Drosophila melanogaster: one gene and its partners. The protein of the gene in region 1 interacts with the protein of each later gene in a pairwise test. Each region holds a gene or a part of one and is shown on either strand. Other genes may lie near its edges.

Evidence for each region.
Region 2: the proteins of CG9467 (region 1) and atlas interact in a two-hybrid assay, tested with the Drosophila melanogaster proteins (one large-scale study listed by BioGRID).
Region 3: the proteins of CG9467 (region 1) and Osi18 interact in a two-hybrid assay, tested with the Drosophila melanogaster proteins (one large-scale study listed by BioGRID).
Region 4: the proteins of CG9467 (region 1) and promL interact in a two-hybrid assay, tested with the Drosophila melanogaster proteins (one large-scale study listed by BioGRID).

The regions. Positions count from the first base shown.
Region 1 is NT_033777.3:9,797,213-9,802,953, reverse strand, and holds CG9467 (uncharacterized protein), read left to right. Parts: upstream 1-1,927; 5' UTR 1,928-2,223; coding exon 2,224-2,285; intron 2,286-2,363; coding exon 2,364-4,494; coding exon of another isoform or gene 4,495-4,665; 3' UTR 4,666-5,185; downstream 5,186-5,741. Other genes in the region: CG8526 (uncharacterized protein), read right to left, coding at 1-1,040, 1,102-1,325, 1,378-1,474.
Region 2 is NT_033778.4:23,282,452-23,286,351, forward strand, and holds atlas (atlas), read left to right. Parts: upstream 1-1,775; 5' UTR 1,776-1,852; coding exon 1,853-2,371; 3' UTR 2,372-2,393; exon of another isoform or gene 2,394-2,397; intron 2,398-2,460; 3' UTR 2,461-3,370; downstream 3,371-3,900. Other genes in the region: CG3124 (uncharacterized protein), read right to left, coding at 474-508, 567-625, 702-1,402, 1,461-1,517.
Region 3 is NT_033777.3:6,328,697-6,332,320, forward strand, and holds Osi18 (osiris 18), read left to right. Parts: upstream 1-1,551; 5' UTR 1,552-1,654; coding exon 1,655-2,096; intron 2,097-2,388; coding exon 2,389-2,867; 3' UTR 2,868-3,113; downstream 3,114-3,624.
Region 4 is NT_037436.4:3,124,694-3,129,372, forward strand, and holds the start of promL (prominin-like), read right to left. Parts: upstream 3,032-4,679; 5' UTR 2,960-3,031; intron 2,524-2,959; exon of another isoform or gene 2,333-2,523; 5' UTR 2,174-2,332; intron 1-2,173. Other genes in the region: CG11537 (uncharacterized protein), read right to left, coding at 4,633-4,679.

The DNA of each region.
Region 1 (5,741 bases):
CAAACGCAGTTCAGTTTGCCCAGGAAGCAGGCCAGGTGCATGGCGGAGCGACCATCGCAGTTGGTGTCGCACAGATTGGCGCCGTACTGCTTAAGATCGCCCAACTTGTGGACATCACCTTCGGTGACCGCGGCCGCCACCAAAGCGGGATAGAATGTGGAGCACATCTGCTGCCGTTCCATCGCCGTCGACATGTGCAATGTGCGGGCCACGCCCTCGATCAGATCAATGTCGTTAATCTTGGCAACCTTATTGGTGGTCAGCTCTCCGCGCAAACTTAGTAGCATCACCTTCTTCTTGTTGGGAATGTCCCACTCCGGCTTGGACAGCACATAGGCCAGTTTGGTAAAGGCTGCCTCCTGAGTCATATCGTAGCCGGGTATTACGCCCACTTCCATCAGACCCTGGCTTGTCTCGTAAATGTTGGCCACCATGCCCGCCGAGCACTGCGTAATGTTGACAATAATAACGCCTCTGTGAACCGCCTCCCTCAGTTCGTCCAGCAAGTCCTCACGATTAACCGGAAAATTGCCGGCCCCAAAGGTCTGGAGGACAACACCTTTCGTTGGCTCTTTCAGGATTGCCTGCACCACACTGGCACTTATTCCCGGGTAAATACGCAGCAGCGCCACGTTCTTTTCGAGTTCCGAATGAAGTGAAAATGGTTTAATATTGCACGGTCGGAAGATTTGGCGGCTGTTGATCTCAATGTTGACACTCGCCCGACCCAATGGTGCAAAATTTGGTGAGTCCAGTGCGTGAAAAGAGTCAGAATTGAGCTTCGTGGAGCGACAGCCACGTAGAATCTTGTTGCCGAAGAAGACCAGCACTTCGGGTATACTGTAATTTCCTGCTATGAGAAGTGCGCCCAAGAAGTTCTCCCGCCCATCGCTGCGGGCTTCAAAGATCGGAATCTGTGCCCCAGTGAATACCACGGGCTTGTTCAGGCTCTCAAGCATGAACGCTAGTGCCGAGGCGGAGTAGGCTAGGGTATCCGTTCCATGGAGGATCACAAAGCCGTCGTAGGACTTGTATGTCTTCTGCGAAAAAAGTTAGTTGCATATTTTGTATTAACCTGATGATCCTCGACTCTCAACTTACTCCCACTTCGTTGGCAATGCGCTTCCAGTCGCAGAAGCCCATGCAGCTGGAGTCCATCAGTGGGCAGAACTCAATCAAATCGTAAAGGACTCTATACGGAGCTCCAGACACTGCGGGTAGCACCATCATGGGACCATCATTATCCTTGCTGGTGTAATTCCTGTCGTGGCAGCTGGGAAACTCTTGAAGCTGCCGAGCCAGCACCTTGGGCGCGGTGTGCAGTACTGATGAGAAACAATTGATTAGTACACGGACAAGAGCCATTGATATACCCACCTCCGGACTCGTTGCGGATCATTCCGATGGTTCCACCCACGTAGATGACATGGACGCGAGCCTCCTTCTTCAAACAACCGCACTTCGCCGCCGGCATTTTGGGCTTTTTCGAAATTTTGAGTGGTGTCCGAAACTAAACTAAAGCGTAGTTCCAAAGGCTCAGAGTGTGACAGCAAGATCCATGAGCTTTTTGTTTTGATGCTTAATACAAGTCATAACTTTACAATATTTTCAAATTTACCACCAAGCGAAATAAACCGTTGCTTGACGAAAAGGTGGTATGACCGTATTGCATGGGAATTTAACCGAGAGTTAGAGATGTACACTGCTTCACAAGAAATATCGTTGCTTATAATTGTGGAAATGCATATACTTTCTGATGCCCAAATTAATTTTATTTCTATATTAATTATTTTTTAATGATGAATTGTTGTTTGGAAACCATCAAAAACCTTGGTGAGTTAACACATACAAAATCAAAAGTGGAAAGTTCAGCAAAACAACTAAATGCAACAGGGACCCCCCGTAAACAGTGACTCGTCATGGCTGGGAACAGTCACGACCAATTTGCCCATCCCTAGTTTCTACAGTGCAGTGCAACAAATAATAAATAAATAAATAGCCTGGCACAAAGAGTTAATCGAATAAATTGCACCCCGCAGCGCACGTCAAGTGGGTTGGGTACCGAAATCGCGAGTTATCTGCTCCGCTGACGCCGCTGCCACTGCTCCGCCATATCAGTTGCTGATTGGAGCGCTGGGAGCACGGAAGCCACACAAATAGAGGCGCATTTAGAGCAATCCCCACCGTCCGCTGCTGCGGCAGCCCGCGGGTCATCGGATTGCCATGTCCCACTTCACGCATGCCTCCAGCAGCGACCTGGTCAACCTCAATGTGGGTGGTCAGCGGTAAGAACAAAGAACCAACACATTACGGCCCACTAACGGCATTGATGACGCATGCAAACTCCATCTCACTATCCATAGCTTTTCCACGTCGCGGCAAACGCTTACGTGGATCCCGGACACCTTCTTCACGGCTCTTCTCAGCGGACGCATCTCGAGTCTCAGAGACGAGCACAATGCCATCTTTATTGATCGCGATCCGACGCTCTTCTCGATCATACTTAACTACTTAAGGACCAAGGACATCGACATCAAGAACTGCGAAATACGCGCTCTGCGCCATGAGGCCGAGTACTATGGCATCACGCCGCTGACCAAGCGCCTGGCCCTCTGCGAAGACCTTAACCACTCGTCCTGCGGTGATTTGCTGTTCTACGGATTTCTGGCGGCGCCGCCCATGCCGTCAAACGAAGCTGTGGCTGCTACTAGCGTTGACGAGTCATTGCCCTCCACTTCGGCCAGTGCGATTGGCAGTCGTCCTGGGTCCATGGTGCGCGTTCCCGAACCCTCACGCTCCTCACACTCGCGCAATTCATCATGGGATCTGCGCCTTGGTCGCACAGGTAGCACTGGCAATGGTGCCAATCCCCCAGCTCCCATGTTGCACTCACGTAATCCCTCGATTGACTTTATGCGCCACTCTCGGAACTCCTCGGCCGATCTGAACAAAGTCTTTCGAAACGAAGTTGGCCTGGTATTCAGTCCCACGCAGAACTCAAACTGGGTGGACCCGTTGCGAGTGCAAATCATTAAGGCGCACCAAAATTGGATAGCAGTGGCTTACGCACACTTTGTGACTTGCTACCGGGTGAAAGACTCCAACGGATGGCAGCAGGTGTTCACATCGCCCCACATCGACGCCACTATCGAAAGAATCGCCATCAACTCAAAGGTGAATACTTCCGCAGCAGAGCCACTGCCCAGCAAGATGGTGGCCATTTCTTACGGCAGTCAGATAAGATTGTGGAGCATTCAGGAGGGCGGCCAGAAAACGGATGTGGGCACGTTTAATTTAAATGTGCGAGTGGAGTACCTGTTCTTTATCGGCAGTCAGCTGGTGGCCCTGTCATCTTCCGGCAAGATCGGCGTCTGGCATGCGATGACGCAGCACTGGCAGATTCAGGACCTAGTGCCCGTGCTCTCATTCGATTCCGCAGGCTCTTTTTTGCTGCTGGGCTGCAACAACGGCTCCATTTACTACATAGACATGCAGAAGTTCCCGCTCCGGATAAAGGACAATGATTTACTGGTTACCGAGCTCTACAAAGATGTCACACTAGACCCTATCACGGCCATCTCGGTCTACCTTACCCCAAAAACCTCGAGCATAAGTGGCAATTGGATTGAAATTGCCTATGGCACAAAGTCGGGAGCGGTTCGAATCATTGTCCAGCATCCGGAGACAGCTGGCCATGGACCACACCTGTTCGAGACCTTCTTTGTGCACCAAAGCCCCGTAACGAAGGTGATGCTGTCGGAGAAATACCTCGTCTCCGTGTGCAGCGAATACCACCACGTGCGAACATGGCGTCTGACCCGCTTCCGGGGCATGCTCTCCACCCAGCCGGGATCCACGCCGGAAGCATCGTTCAAAATCGTGTCGCTGGAAGCTACCGATACGAGCTACAGCTATGCGGCTGGAAATGATTTTGGACCTTACGGTGACTACGACGACATGATATTTGTGCAAAAGGTGGTGCCCGAGACGGATCAGCTGTACGTACGCTTGGCCTCCAACGGTGATCGGGTGTGCGTCATTAGATCCGTAGATAGCTCCACAATTTCGGCCTTCTGTGTGCTCGAGTGCGAGGTATCGTCCCGGTTCATACTCACCGGTCACTGCAACGGCGCTATTCAAATGTGGGACCTAACCACTGCACTGGCGCTGCTCTCCAAGGATGAGCCGCAGCAGAAAATCAATGGCGGACCCGACACCAATGAGCTTCTCCGCCTACTTGACCAGTGTGAAATCAGCAATTCATCATGCACAACACCTTGTATGTCACCGTGTCTATCAGCTATGGGCAACGGCTCTGGAATGGCCTCCTCCATAGCCCGCATGAAAGCCAGCAACATAGCCCTGCTAAATCGGGAACCAGCAATGGCAATGGCCGTCCAAGCCGTCCAGCCGCCCGCTCAGGTCCAACCTGCTCTTCCAGAGGCTGTGGCGCCGGCAGCTGCTATCCCGATGGCTGACGACAACAACGAATGAGACGTGGAAGCGGCTGCTTGATTGGCGCTTGTCGGGCGCGTTTCATCGTTTACATTTCACAGGTATAGCTTAATCTTCGACTACCAGTTTATATTCCTGCAGTTCGTGGTGTGCGCCCTCATCTACGTCTGGGTGACGCGACTCACCCGCGGTCCAGCCACTGGGCCGTGATGAACTGCCAGCAGGCATTTACCCAATCAATTAATCTCCATTATATGTGCTCGATGTGTTTGCAAATGCAATGTGTATCCCGTAAACCCATTTTTTGTGCTCCTCCAAACTTGGATCGTACAGTTAGTAATTTAAAAAAAAAACGTCTGTCTTTGTTCTAGTTAAAGTTATGAAAATTAGTTAAAACCATGTAAACCAGAGTATAAGACTTCTGCAACCGATCATCTATAATTAGCACAACTCTCCTAAAGGGTGCTCCATCAGGACAGATACGAAATCGTTCGGCTTGGATAAGATTGGTTGCCTTAAGCAAAGAAAGTTCATTAAACAGCCAATCAGTTGATTGTCAACCTTGAAGATGATTACTTGTGATTAAAATCGATAGAGCGACTGCTTCAAATTCGAATCTGTCCTGTTGCATGCAATGCCACACATGAATATAATGATACGCCTTGTTGCAACCAGTAAACAGCTATACATATTCAATATAAATAAAGATAATTATACACAAAGAGATATCAAAATAGCGAGCGAGTTGTGTCATCAATAATTTATTGAACATTTTATCTTAGTTTCTTGATGGTTGAAGTGTTCCATTAACATTTATCAAATACAAATACTTGGCTTGCATTCTCGTGGGTGTTGTGTGTGTAAATACGTGTATATACGATATCCTACGCCTATACCGGACCTCAGTAAAGTAAAAAAGCAGCAAAAACGCCAAAACATATAAAAATATATATAATATACATTTGTGTATTGTAGGTAAGTTACCCCAACCCAACCCCGACCGCCATTTAAATATCATTGGCCTAAACACAACCCACTAACGACCGCCGGTGTGCTTAATAAACAATTTAAACAAGTGGCTCGTCAAGTGGGACCCCTGCCTTTAATTTACCTAAAATAGGACGCACTGGTACTGAGATAGAATAATAATAATGGAGTAGATACTTGGAGCGATTACCCACCCTCGCCCGGAAGCAATTGTCGAGCCGTTCATACAAATAGTTTGTACACAAATTCAACCTAAAGCTATGCTATATTCTAAAGGGCAAACCGATATGAAGCTGTGC
Region 2 (3,900 bases), on another chromosome or scaffold:
CAACCAACTGATGCCTTTTGCCGATAAAGCCATTGTTTATACTCCGCACAGCGACTGGGTTGTGGATTGCATTTTGGCCATAAGTTGGCAACATTTTTTATGCGTTCATCATGCGGTCAGCATAAATTTTTCATCGCCATTTCAGCTTTTCCCTCGTCCAATTTTCCTTGGCCGAGCCCCCCACCCTCCACCACACTCCGCTTGCCGCGAACATGTTGCCAATTTTGATGTCTGATGGCCATAAATCAGGGCGTTTAAAGTCGCCAGATGAAAAACAACGAATGAATAATTCCATTTCGGCCATAAACATATAAACTATTTATTCCACACCAATATGTTTGTGGCCAAGTCTGTGTTTCTTGTGGGTTTGAGTATCTGTTTGCTTGCGTAGGGGAAGTCTTGGAACAAATAAATAAAGAGACACCAATCATGCAAAAGTACAAAAACAACTAATGATGGGCTCAAGGGTTTCGTCAACGCCAATGGGGGACCTTGCTAACCGCTTTTCCTGAAAGCAGAACATTGTATATCATTCTTTTATGCAAAAAAAAAAAGTGAGTACTCACCACAATTGAATGATTGATTGCCTTTGCTGTACTTCGATGAATCGTGTATCGATGGTGCGCTAAGGGTTAGAGATTAAAAAGGATTGCTATGGATCGGATTAGGATGCCGAACGCCCCTGGGCGAGATCTACTTACTTTAGACCGTTCCGCATATCCCGGTACATGGGAGCGTCGTAGGAGGTCTTCATCCGGTTGACCTGTTGGTGTCCCTGGCTCGGCTGCTGATAGTGCTGCTGCTGCTGTTGCTGCTGCTGCTGGTGCTGCTGGTGGTACTGCGGCTGGTGACTCTGCATAGGCTGACTGTATTGCCACATATTGGAGCTGTTCATCATTTGGTTGGGGCTGGGACCGGAGCTCCAGCCGCCAGCTTGCGAGGGCGACGAGGGACAGGGCGCAGACATCACAGCATTGCAGCCGCCCGTCAGACGTCCTTGATGCATTTGGGTGGTAGATCCACTGGGATTGTACTGTTGCAGCGGCTGCATCTGACCCATCGAGGTCATCGGCTGCAGGTCAGGCAGCACTGCATTGATCCCGGGGGCATCGATGGCGCCCATGGGATTGCCCATCATGGGCATCATGGTCATGCTGCTCAGGGGAGTCACCGCTCCAATCGGCAGCTGGGTGGACATCGTGGACATGGGGGTCATCTGATTGCCCCCTTGCATCATGCCCAGCGGCATACCCTGCATTGGGTACGACGAAGCGCCCGACTGGCACACGGGCATCTGCATCTGCAGATTCATCTGCGGTGGATTCAGGGGCTGCATGGCCATGGACTGTCCTTGACCCTGACCTACTCCCATGCTTAGGGGGTACTGAGGAACGCTCTTCATCTGAAATATAGACTTAGACTTATTACCAAGTCTACAGAACCAATGCAACTATGTGTACCTTGGAATCGGCGTACATGCCGTAGTCAGCTTCGTAAGGCACTGAACAAAAATTCATTTTCGATGTGTGGAAAGCTCGAGATACTCCGAAAGTGTTTATAAAATATTTCACTCCAAATTTGTATATAACTTAAATTTTGAGAATTTTTTTTTTCTTACTTTCTACCAATAGATCTGAATCCTACGATGAAATAAATACGAATGAAGTGTGTAGAGGAAAACTTCCCAGACATCTGACAGAGATGGGAAAAGCCTACTATGATTGAATAGAATACAATTTTAGCGTGTTTTTTTCATGATCATCTCAAAGGCTTTGGATAATAATATTATCAAAAACGTCAGAGTATTTATCGTATTGTATATTTCCAAATTACTTGTTATCACATCGAGTAAATGGGACGCAAAGGCCACAAGACTAGAAGGAAAGTTAAAGTCCACTCGAAGGTCCATCCTCCTCAGAAAATTAAAGCGAAGCTGCCGAAAAGAGATAAACGTAGCACACTTCGTCCCAAGATTAATAATTCGAAGGTTTTTCACGTGAACTGCTGCAAGTACAAGATCCGTTCGAGACCCATGAGGCGCAATCAGTGCAACCTGGCCACCCAGTGCCCCTCCCACACGGTCGCCATCGCCCCGTCTGTGCCGCTCCTGCATCATCCTGTCCGGCGGAAGGTGGTCCATATGCCGGAAACCGTGGTCATGCACATGCGGAATATGGAGGACGCCCGCCGAGTGGCGGTTAAGCACAGAAGAACCCTTATTCAAACCCATGTTCCTTCGCCGGATGTGGATGATGACGAAGATACACACCAAATCGATCGGAGGTCAAGGCAAGCCTATAGGATGGGTCAAATGAGACCCTTATCCAGCGACGTGGATGTGGATGACATGGATGTGGACCCGTTTCAGTAGGGATGTGTGTTGGAAATATATTGTAGGTACTGTGGTAATTGTTTAACTTCTCGTTTACAAAATGCCCATGAGTCCTACTTTATTTCTAGTTGCCAATCCACATATCCCGTGAGACGAGGGATTCCATTGCCACTTCTAACTAGTTGCTTCGCCCCATGGGCATATCGTGATCATCCATAAAACCACGCCCCTCCGCCAGTCTCCCCAAGCCCAACCAAGCTGTCCAGGACAATTAATTTTACACCGGCTTGTCAGCTTATTGTTTATCTACATAACTACGGAACACGGAGAACAGAGAACAGAGGACGACTGCCCTGAGCTGTCGTGTCATTTATTCAGCTGCTCCGACCGGGCTCGACTTTCGATATCCTTTGGGCCGCGGTGCAGTTGCCACACCATTTATGCCATTAAGTCATTAGCTTTGTTTAACAAATAACAAACTGTCAATGAGTGATTAACGATGTTTTTCGCATGAACTGCAATTAGCCGCCGCCGCCGCCGCCGCCGCCGCCGACGCCATGGACGTGGACTTCGTCGTTTGCCGCCCGACTTCTTTTTCCTGACAAATGGGTGTGATTTCGCTCCCGGCGGTGCTCCAGTGGATCCGAGGTGCACTGGCTGGATGTGGATTGATGGTGGTGGTGGCGGGCGGATGGTAGATGGTGGGCTCACCGGGTGACAAGCACTCGTTATTGATGCGCCCCCAAGCTGCCGTCACTTGGCAATTATTGTGTATTGTGCTCCGAGTCAACGGCATTTGCCATAGTCATAGACATGGTCGTGGAACAGTCACACTCATCGCAGTTTGCATTTATCATTGAAGGGTAGTGCTGGCATTTTAAGATGCCATTTTAGAATAGTAAAGTGTTGAATAGCATTCAATTAAATTAAAAGTCTTACTTTGCAGCTAATTGATTCATTGGGCATTTGGATATTTGAATAGAAATGATTTGTATGAACCATAGCCTTTTTATCATAACTTGGCCAAAATGAGTCCCACGCCAAAAAAATTAACATTCTTGTACATCTATTGATCTGTACTTTCATTTTGTATCAAATTTTGGTCAAATAAAGAAAATTTTTTTTTTTACAATTTTCGCATTTTTTGTAAGGGGTTACATCGTCAAAATTGGCAAAAAATCTAAAAAAATTAAAATGTTCAAATTGAAATGTCAATCGATTGGGAATATGAATACGAGTTGAACGAGGTACTACAATCAAGATTTTGATCATTTTATCGGTTGCGTTAGCTAAAATACGTGTTTTTGGTCGGAAAAAAGAAGGTTTTTCGCCATATATCAGCCAAGAAGTGTTAGAAACCTCTAGGAATGACTTTTTTGCACAGCTATTGATCCATACTAATGACCCATATAACAAATCTGCAGGTTTTTGAAAATTCGATTTTTGACAATTTTCGCATTTTTTATAAGGGGTAACATCATCAAAATTGGCAAAAAATCGAAAAAAATTAAAATGCTCAAATTGAAATGCCAATCGATTGGGAATACGAATACGAGTTCAACGAGGTA
Region 3 (3,624 bases), 3.5 Mb from region 1:
TAAAAAAAGTTTACCTGCTTTAAGTTCAAGGAAAAATATAATTGGGATGGGAAAGAAGATCATTAAAGGGCCTATTTCCTTTTATTCCTTTATACTCGGTATTCTTGTTTATAATTATACTTACAATTTGAAAATTAGGTGGCACTTTAAATATCAAATAATGACTTATTACTAAAACTAATTTAGGGTTTCTATTGGAAGAAATTAAGCCAATTGGTGTTCACCAGGATATCCTTTTAAGCTCAAATACATATAACAAAAAATTGAGAATTGGTAATTTTCATCTGCAACTACTTTAAAACTACAGCCAGGAAATTATCAATGTTCCGATTGTTTCTCCGATTTACAACATTTACCTTGATCTATTGCAATATCGAACGTTTTAGAAATATATTCACCTAGATCTGAACGTTCAAGAGCATTATTATGTGAATGGGATCTTTCTTTTTCCCATAATTTTAATAATAATAATAATAATTCATCGCGTTATTTGTTGGTACATCAAAACTGCACTGTGAGAGCACTAACATTTAGCACAAATGACTTAAATCTAGAAACTGTGCATAAAAAGGTTAGTAATATTTTTTTAATTGCTTACCGCAGTCCCATTTACGGAGTCTCATGAAACTCTCCGCAGACCATAATGTTTTTTCATTAAGATGCAATTAACTTCAAGGTTCAGTTATTTGCAAATCAATTACAGAAAATCGGTGGTTAACGGCTATTCCATTTTGTGATTTTGGTTACCGATCTATTTTCACTCTATTTAAATCTTCCATACAATTTATTTCGTAATAACGCAGAAGTCATACAGCAGTTTTGATTTAATTTTTGATGCCCTACATCACAGGAGATCCATTAAACAATTAACTTCAAACATATCTCAGCATTCATTCAATTCATTCATTCATTCAATTCTATGCAAATGTTCTTACAATTGGAAGGTAAATATTAATACATATTAAAGAACGAATCAAAGCGACTCGATTCACAATGGAGAATGAAATGAAATGGTATTTCTTCAGCTTCCGTGGTCAGCAAGTGCATTTGACTGCCCCCCGTGGGTACAAACGAGTATCCAATCTGCTGGGTGAGTGGTATTTTAATTGGGTTTCCAGGCACGCACCTCGGATTGCTGGGCACTTGATTTTACGAGCGGATCCCCGGCCGTCGATGCAGAAGAAGCCATCAAATAACTTTCAATTATGTGCGGCCCATTATGGCGCGTATTATGCGGGAAATCGTCGCAATGAGGAATTCCTACTCCTCCCACAAAGAGAACAGCGTGCCCATAAAACGTTCGCCTGACCCAATAGACTAGAGTATCGAAATAGAATCAGAGGCCAGAAGCACAGCTAGGGCCATACCTGCACAAAGGTGAAACTCAGGTGGTCAACTTGCGCTTTCCATGACTTTGACAACAAAGCGAAATGGTCGCTAAAGCTGGAGCCCAAAGCGGTGGGCAGAAAAAGAGCTCCGTGCGTACCTGGCATACGCAATTCAATTAGCAAAGTACCGTCGTATAAAAACCAAGCGGTTCCCATGCGACATTTGCATAACCCGCTGAGTGGCCAACGCGTGCGCACCACCAAACCACCTGACCACCGGACCATCGAACCAGAGTGAGAGTTGAGGACTAACCGTCGTCGAAAGGATGAAGAGCACCGCCGCTTGTCTGATAGTCGCCCTTGCGGCGCTGTCCACCGCCCACTCGGCGCCCACCGAAGGTCAGGTGGCGCCCCAGTCCGCCACGCAACTAGCCCTGGACATGTACCATGGCTGCCTTAAGGACCTCAGTGTTTCCTGCGTGCGTCCCAAGGCCCTGCAGTGGTTCAACTCTGCCCTCCGGCAGCCGGAGGTGCGCATCACCGAGCGCCTGTCGATTGTCCGTACCGCGGAGAAGGTCGAGTCCCGATCCATGAACCCGGAGGAGCGCCTCTTCGACGACATCGACAGCTATCTGGGCAGCCACTCGCTGAGGATCCAGGCTCCGGAGTACTTCCGCACCTCGGAAGCCCGCTCCCTGGTGCCCGACTTCCTCATGTCGAATCCGCTTACTCAGGGAGGATTAGTTCCCCTGGCAGCTGCTAACGAAGGTAAGAACTCAAGATCTAAGTCAGATAAAAAAGTAATGATGACGATCCAAAACGAGCTTACGTTTTTTCAAAATAACATTCAATTCGCAACACAGTGTCAGAAACAAGTGTTGATACTAATTATTGAAATGCCACTCTTGTGTTTAATAGAAATCGTTAAACTAATTTGAATATGACAAATGGCATTATCAAAAATTTCAAAAATGTTTAGGGTTTATGCAAATCAGCATACAAATATTTGGATTTTTACCACTTGTGATAAATCTAATCTGTATTTTTCCTACTTTTCCAGGACGTGGCATGATCCGCAAGGCAGTTCTGCCCTTCCTTCTGGGCCTGAAACTGAAGACCACTGTGCTGGTGCCACTGGCCTTGGGACTCATTGCCCTAAAGACCTGGAAGGCCATGACCTTGGGCCTGCTCTCATTGGTGCTGTCTGGAGCCTTGGTTATTTTCAAGATTGCCAAGCCCAAGATTGTCAACTACGAGGTGGTGCACTATCCCCATCACGTGGATCATGTGGTGCCGCATCACATTGAGCACGTGGTGCCCCACCACATCGAGCACGTGGTGCCCCACCACATCGAGCACATAGTGCCGCATCACATCGATCATCATCTGGAGCACCACATCGATCACCACGTGGATCTGCCCGTGGAGCACATCGAGCACCTGGAGCACCCATCGCCCGCCTGGGATCCTCATGCCTGGGCCCGATCCTCGCAAGAGCCGCAGGATGCCCAGGACTTGGCCTACGCGGGTCAGAAGTGAACATGGGTCTAGAGACCAAAACCCCCCTTACGAAATTCGGCCAAACTGTAACCTTATTTATTTCGTTCTAAGTTAAGTAGCTGAAACACACCGCTCTCGGCGTATTGTTTATTTATTTATTTATTGAGAAGTGTACAAAGCAAAGACCACAAAAAGAACCAAACCCCCAAGGCGTTTTAAAAAGGTACTAAGTGGGAATTAGCTCTGGTGTCCCTTTGTGTAAATATTACTGCAATAAAAACATGCAAAAACGATGTGCCTAATTGAAAACTTTTTTGGAAGTACCAACCCCTCAGCGAAGTGGCTAATTATCCCCAAAACTTTTCTAATGCGAGGAGTTTCACTTTGGGGGTCTGTTGAATTAACCCAGGAGATTCCGGCAAATGAAATGCCACAGAATAATGAGTGCAACTTCTGGCCAAAGTGCCTGATAAAAATGCCAATGAGCACTTTTAGAAAACTCTGCAGAGTAAGGGGAAGCCACAGAGGAATCCTTAATGAAATGCACACATTTTTATATGCCACGTGGAAAAAGATGCTTTGTCCTAGAAATACACTGCGAAAAGAAAGTGTTTCTTTCCTTATTATGTAGCTTTGAAACGTGTACTATGATCAAGATAAGGAATGGATTGCGTTTCCCCATCCTAACGATAGGCTGAACCTTTTCATTAAGTTTTATTATCTGTTTTGATAGAAATGGAAATCCATCTCATTTGTGGGAATGTAAGTATTTCATTTTCTTTACATACTTTCAGGG
Region 4 (4,679 bases), on another chromosome or scaffold:
AACTTAATGACGGTACCTGAGCGTCGGTTGCTTATGGCTTGTATAAACAAAAGAATTAAATACAAAGTGAAGGTTGCATTAATAACAACAATTACCGCTCTCCCCCTATCCATAGAGCCATAATCAATGCCAGTCCCGAAGAAAAATGGCTGAGTGGTAAATAAATATTTAAAAGAATTCCCATGAACGTAAATCGTCTGCAGTTATTATTGGAATGTATACTAGAATAAATAGGTTTTATGACGACCAATGACAGCAATCAGCATTGCTGATAACTTGGAATAATAAGTGGTCTAGCAGTTGTCAAATTGAAAACGTTTTCTTATAATGTCAGAGTTGAACATATTCCTTCAATTATCTAGTAATTCCGTTCTCAAGAACTCCGAGAGTTCTATGAAATGGATGCCATTAAGATTATTTTTACATAGACCATAAGTATATAGCAGCACTGAACTTTACTGATTTACGAGGCCGGAAAGAGTCTGAATCAGAGATAACCAAAGATGACACAATGACCCAGAGTCATCTTCAAATTCCAAGTGGGATGTGTGTGATTAATCTGTTTATAAATATAAAATTTTCCCCAGAAAAGTGCAGCTAACTTTTCGACCGAATTGAGAACACACACTTTGCAGCATCCACATCTTTTCATTTCGGACCGCCTCCGCCAAGTGACATCCACATCGAATTTGGAACAGCCGGCTGGGAGGTGGAGTCCATGGACGGCGGTTCGAGGCGAAAGACATCGCAAGAGAACAGGTTGCCCTGCCGATGGAGTGAAGTCGTGCCAAAGCAAAAACTCGTTTCTCGTGACTGACTCACTCCCCGATAAAAAGCGCAGAAAAATGGGCTAATCACACAAGCAGATACAAAGTAAACTTCTTTAGATGAAAACTGAACTGAACTGAACGAATCCAAACAAAGGAAGTCGGAGAAAAGGGGCGGAAATGAACTGAAAAGTTATAAAAAAAAGGTGCAGACGATCGAGAAGCAGTTCGCTATACTTTTAGGAAGAAACGGAAGCCATGTACACTGACAGAAACAGAAGATGCTCACGTGCCCGCAGATGCATTATATCATCTTGATACTGAAAGTTGAGTCAGCTTCATTGCTCAGCGAATCTGATATGAAGGTTGGCAAATTTCTTGCCAGCTTATCCAATCGCTTATCATATTGTAAACCTTGGATGAACTTGTGTCCATTTTCCGTTTGTCTTCGGATTTCGACCAGCGTCATAAGTTCTCCATTTGCGTTTGGAGTATTTGATTAATGATTCGAAACTCTGCGCTTATCTCTGCGTTTTCATATACATAAATAATAGTACAGTGTTTGTTATTATGTTTATAACTTTCATCTCGGATTTAGCATTCTACATATCTTGTTTATTAGTGCTATTTGAGCAAGTGGCTTTACATTTAATTATTTATACCCAGACTTGTCATTCTGGAAACGTTATCCCTATTTGCATTTTTTTATTTTTGGAATTTGAAAATAGTCATGCAAACCGCTTAGTCGGTTAGAATCAACTTGTTTGGTTTGCTTTAATGTTTATCTTACTTTAATCCTAAACAAAGCAAAAACAATCGCTTACTGTTGAAAGTCATCTGAGCTTTTTGACTATTTTTATTTTGATTATTTTTTCTCGGCTCAACTTCGAGCTCGAATTTCGAATGAAATCAACAAATGCTTCCCGTTTTTGTAAAGATTAGATTTATAATTCTGCCTATTCAAGCTAAATCTATCACGTGGGGCTTTTTTTCAGAGTCTGCTTCCAAGTTCTGCAAAGTGTGTGGCTGGGAAATGATAGAATAGACCCCGAAACTCTATAAATACACGGATTCCGCTCGGCTGGGTGTCGTTCCCACCACACGCACTTGTATCTCAGGTCAGGGATGTGTGGCACATATCTACACCGAAATATATGTATAGTGTATATACATCTGCGGGTGCGTGTCTATGTCTGCGGGAGTTCCTTTTTTGAGTGTTTTGTTGGGATGGAGCAATTAGTGCAGTGCCGCCAGGTGGGATTTCTGGGCGAGAAGGGAGGGCGGAGCATACATTTCGAGACAGGAAGGGCGCTATACCTACTAATTCGACACCGCAAATTGAATAACTCGCTTCTCGGGCTGGGTAAATTGAAATAAACAGCATAAATGAGCCGACGGACACTCACCAACATCGACAACCGCCGCCTAAGCCAATTAAGCTGGCTGTTGGACTCGGGCACGTGAAAGATGATGATGATGCGACGCGGCGTCCAAATCCAATTAGCCGTAGGATCCAGCGATCGGTGGCAGTTTCAGACTTCCAGGCTCGTATCCCCCAACGGATGCTGGAAGGGAAGCGGAGGATTACGTCGCCGGACTTTCAATAAAACACCCAATTTGGACAGCTAAGAGTGCAGCTTGTTCAACTTATAAAAATGACTTGGGCTTCGTTTTACAAAACTAATGGTTGTTCGTGTTAAATCGTGTAAAATTCCAGTCGAATTTGGGGTAATATTAACAGATAAATCAAAACCGTTGGGAAAGTTTGTTGAACAAAGAAAAAACAACAAAAATTAAGGTCGCTGGCGCAACGAGGATTTCCCACTTTTCCAGCTTCCAGTGGCCCTTTTGGCCTAATTGGAGTTCTTGGTAGCAAGTTCCATGGAAAACATGGATATTTTATAATCCGAAGTAAGTCTCTTTAAGCGATTTTAAAACGAGCACGCACACACATGTTGTACATATACTTATATACATATATATATATATATATATATAGTTGGCGTTGTTTTTGTATGTATCACTGCACTGCACCGCCCTTTCGAAACATTCTTTGTTTGCCAGTTACACCTGGCGCTTGTTGTGATTTTCACTCGCTTTTCATATTTTCCCGTGGCAGTAGGCGTGGCCAATCGGGTTTCAGTCACGCGAAGGCACGCTCCATTCAGACTAGATCCGCCCCGGATGTTCACCTTTTCTATTCCAAATTTATCCGATCGAAAAACTTCGCATTTCAAAGAGTTCTGGACCAATGTGACAGTGCGCGGAGCCAGGGAATACCCGTTCGTGGCTTATATAAATGCGCAAAAATACGCCGAAATTAAATACTAAATGTATACCGGAAAACCGACGGAGCCCTGGAAGAATACTATAAAAAAACCGTTAACCGGAGACGCAAATCATAACCGGAAACTAAGTTTAAATTCAAATTTTTTTGGATCTTGTTTCTGTAATGCGACACAATGCGTAAGGAGTATATAAATTAAGATTTAGCTCTTTTAACCACAGTTCCCACAAATTAGATTCAATACTTAGCCTCTTCCTTTTCCAGATATAGGAGTCTCGAATTCATTGTACTAGCGTTTCATTAAACAATTTTGTTTATTTTGGTTTCGTTTAAAACACTATGTTAGACGTTAAATAATTTACAATCAAAATTTGGATTCAGTTTTCTCGTATATGTACCCCCGATTTTTCTTCCGGGGGCACTACTCCATTGACCACCTGTCGTCCACTGCTCACACGGGTGGATGTGTATGTACGTACGTCCTATGTCTGCATGTTTTCATTTATGGGAGGGGGAGGAGCAAGTGGGGAAGTTTTACACGATTGTAGCAACATCGAAAAATATAACTTTGATATCTATGGTACTATACTATACATACACATGCACGTGTGCTCCCTACACGTTCAAGCATTGACTTTGTTGAAGGCTCTGCATTAAGTTGCGTTATTATCAAAATAAAAACTATAGCGTTGCACATGATCGGAGGCGTTAACTTCGCAATCGGCTAAATTAAAAACATTCGTTTTGTGTCGTCAGTACCCATACATATATCTCTCTATTTATATATATAAATATATATACATATTTATTTTGTATATACCTTGTGGTTTGCGGTTAAAGTCGCCTAGTTTGTGACCAAATTCATCATAATTTGCAATTCATTTCATTAGAGTTTAGACTTTAAATCACTACGATTTTCAAAGTAAAGCTTGGTATTCAGTTTATTTGGATTTTCCTCTTCCTAATTGTTGTAACTAAACGGCTTTGGGGTGAACTAAATTAGTAATGCGATTCGATATTCGGGATACAGTATTGTGCTGTGCTGAATTTACGCGATTTCATTCAAAGATATCGGATTACACTTACTTGGTTTTTTTTTTGTTATTATTTGGCAGTTATTTTGTTGTTGTTGCAAAACATTATTAGCTCTAGCAGTGATGTAATCCCAACCCAAAGAGAACCAACAGTCGCAAAAGCATTGCAAACGGAAACAGAAGCCAGAAGCTGGAAAAGCGGGCAAGCACACGGGCCAATCGAATCGAATATATGTGACTACGTTACTTAGGCAATAATAAATTAATTACGAAATATAATTGGGCTGAGGTGGTTTGTGGTGTGACAAGGTGCGTTGTGGAAACTAAGGTAAAACGAAGATCTAACCATCAAAACAATAACATTATCTCGGCCTGATCTGCGATATATATGCACCTAATAGAATAGACTCGGAAACTAAAGCCAAACTAGTTACAGCATTTGTTTACAGTTACAAAATCCTTAACTCCTTAACACTGCTTATACGTATCTATAGCCACCAGCTGGGTTCAAGTTGTGTGGATAGGACGCCGGCAATGGAGCGCACTACAGCTGCGCCAGCGAGTCGGAGCGAATGAGCGGCGCCAGTGAGC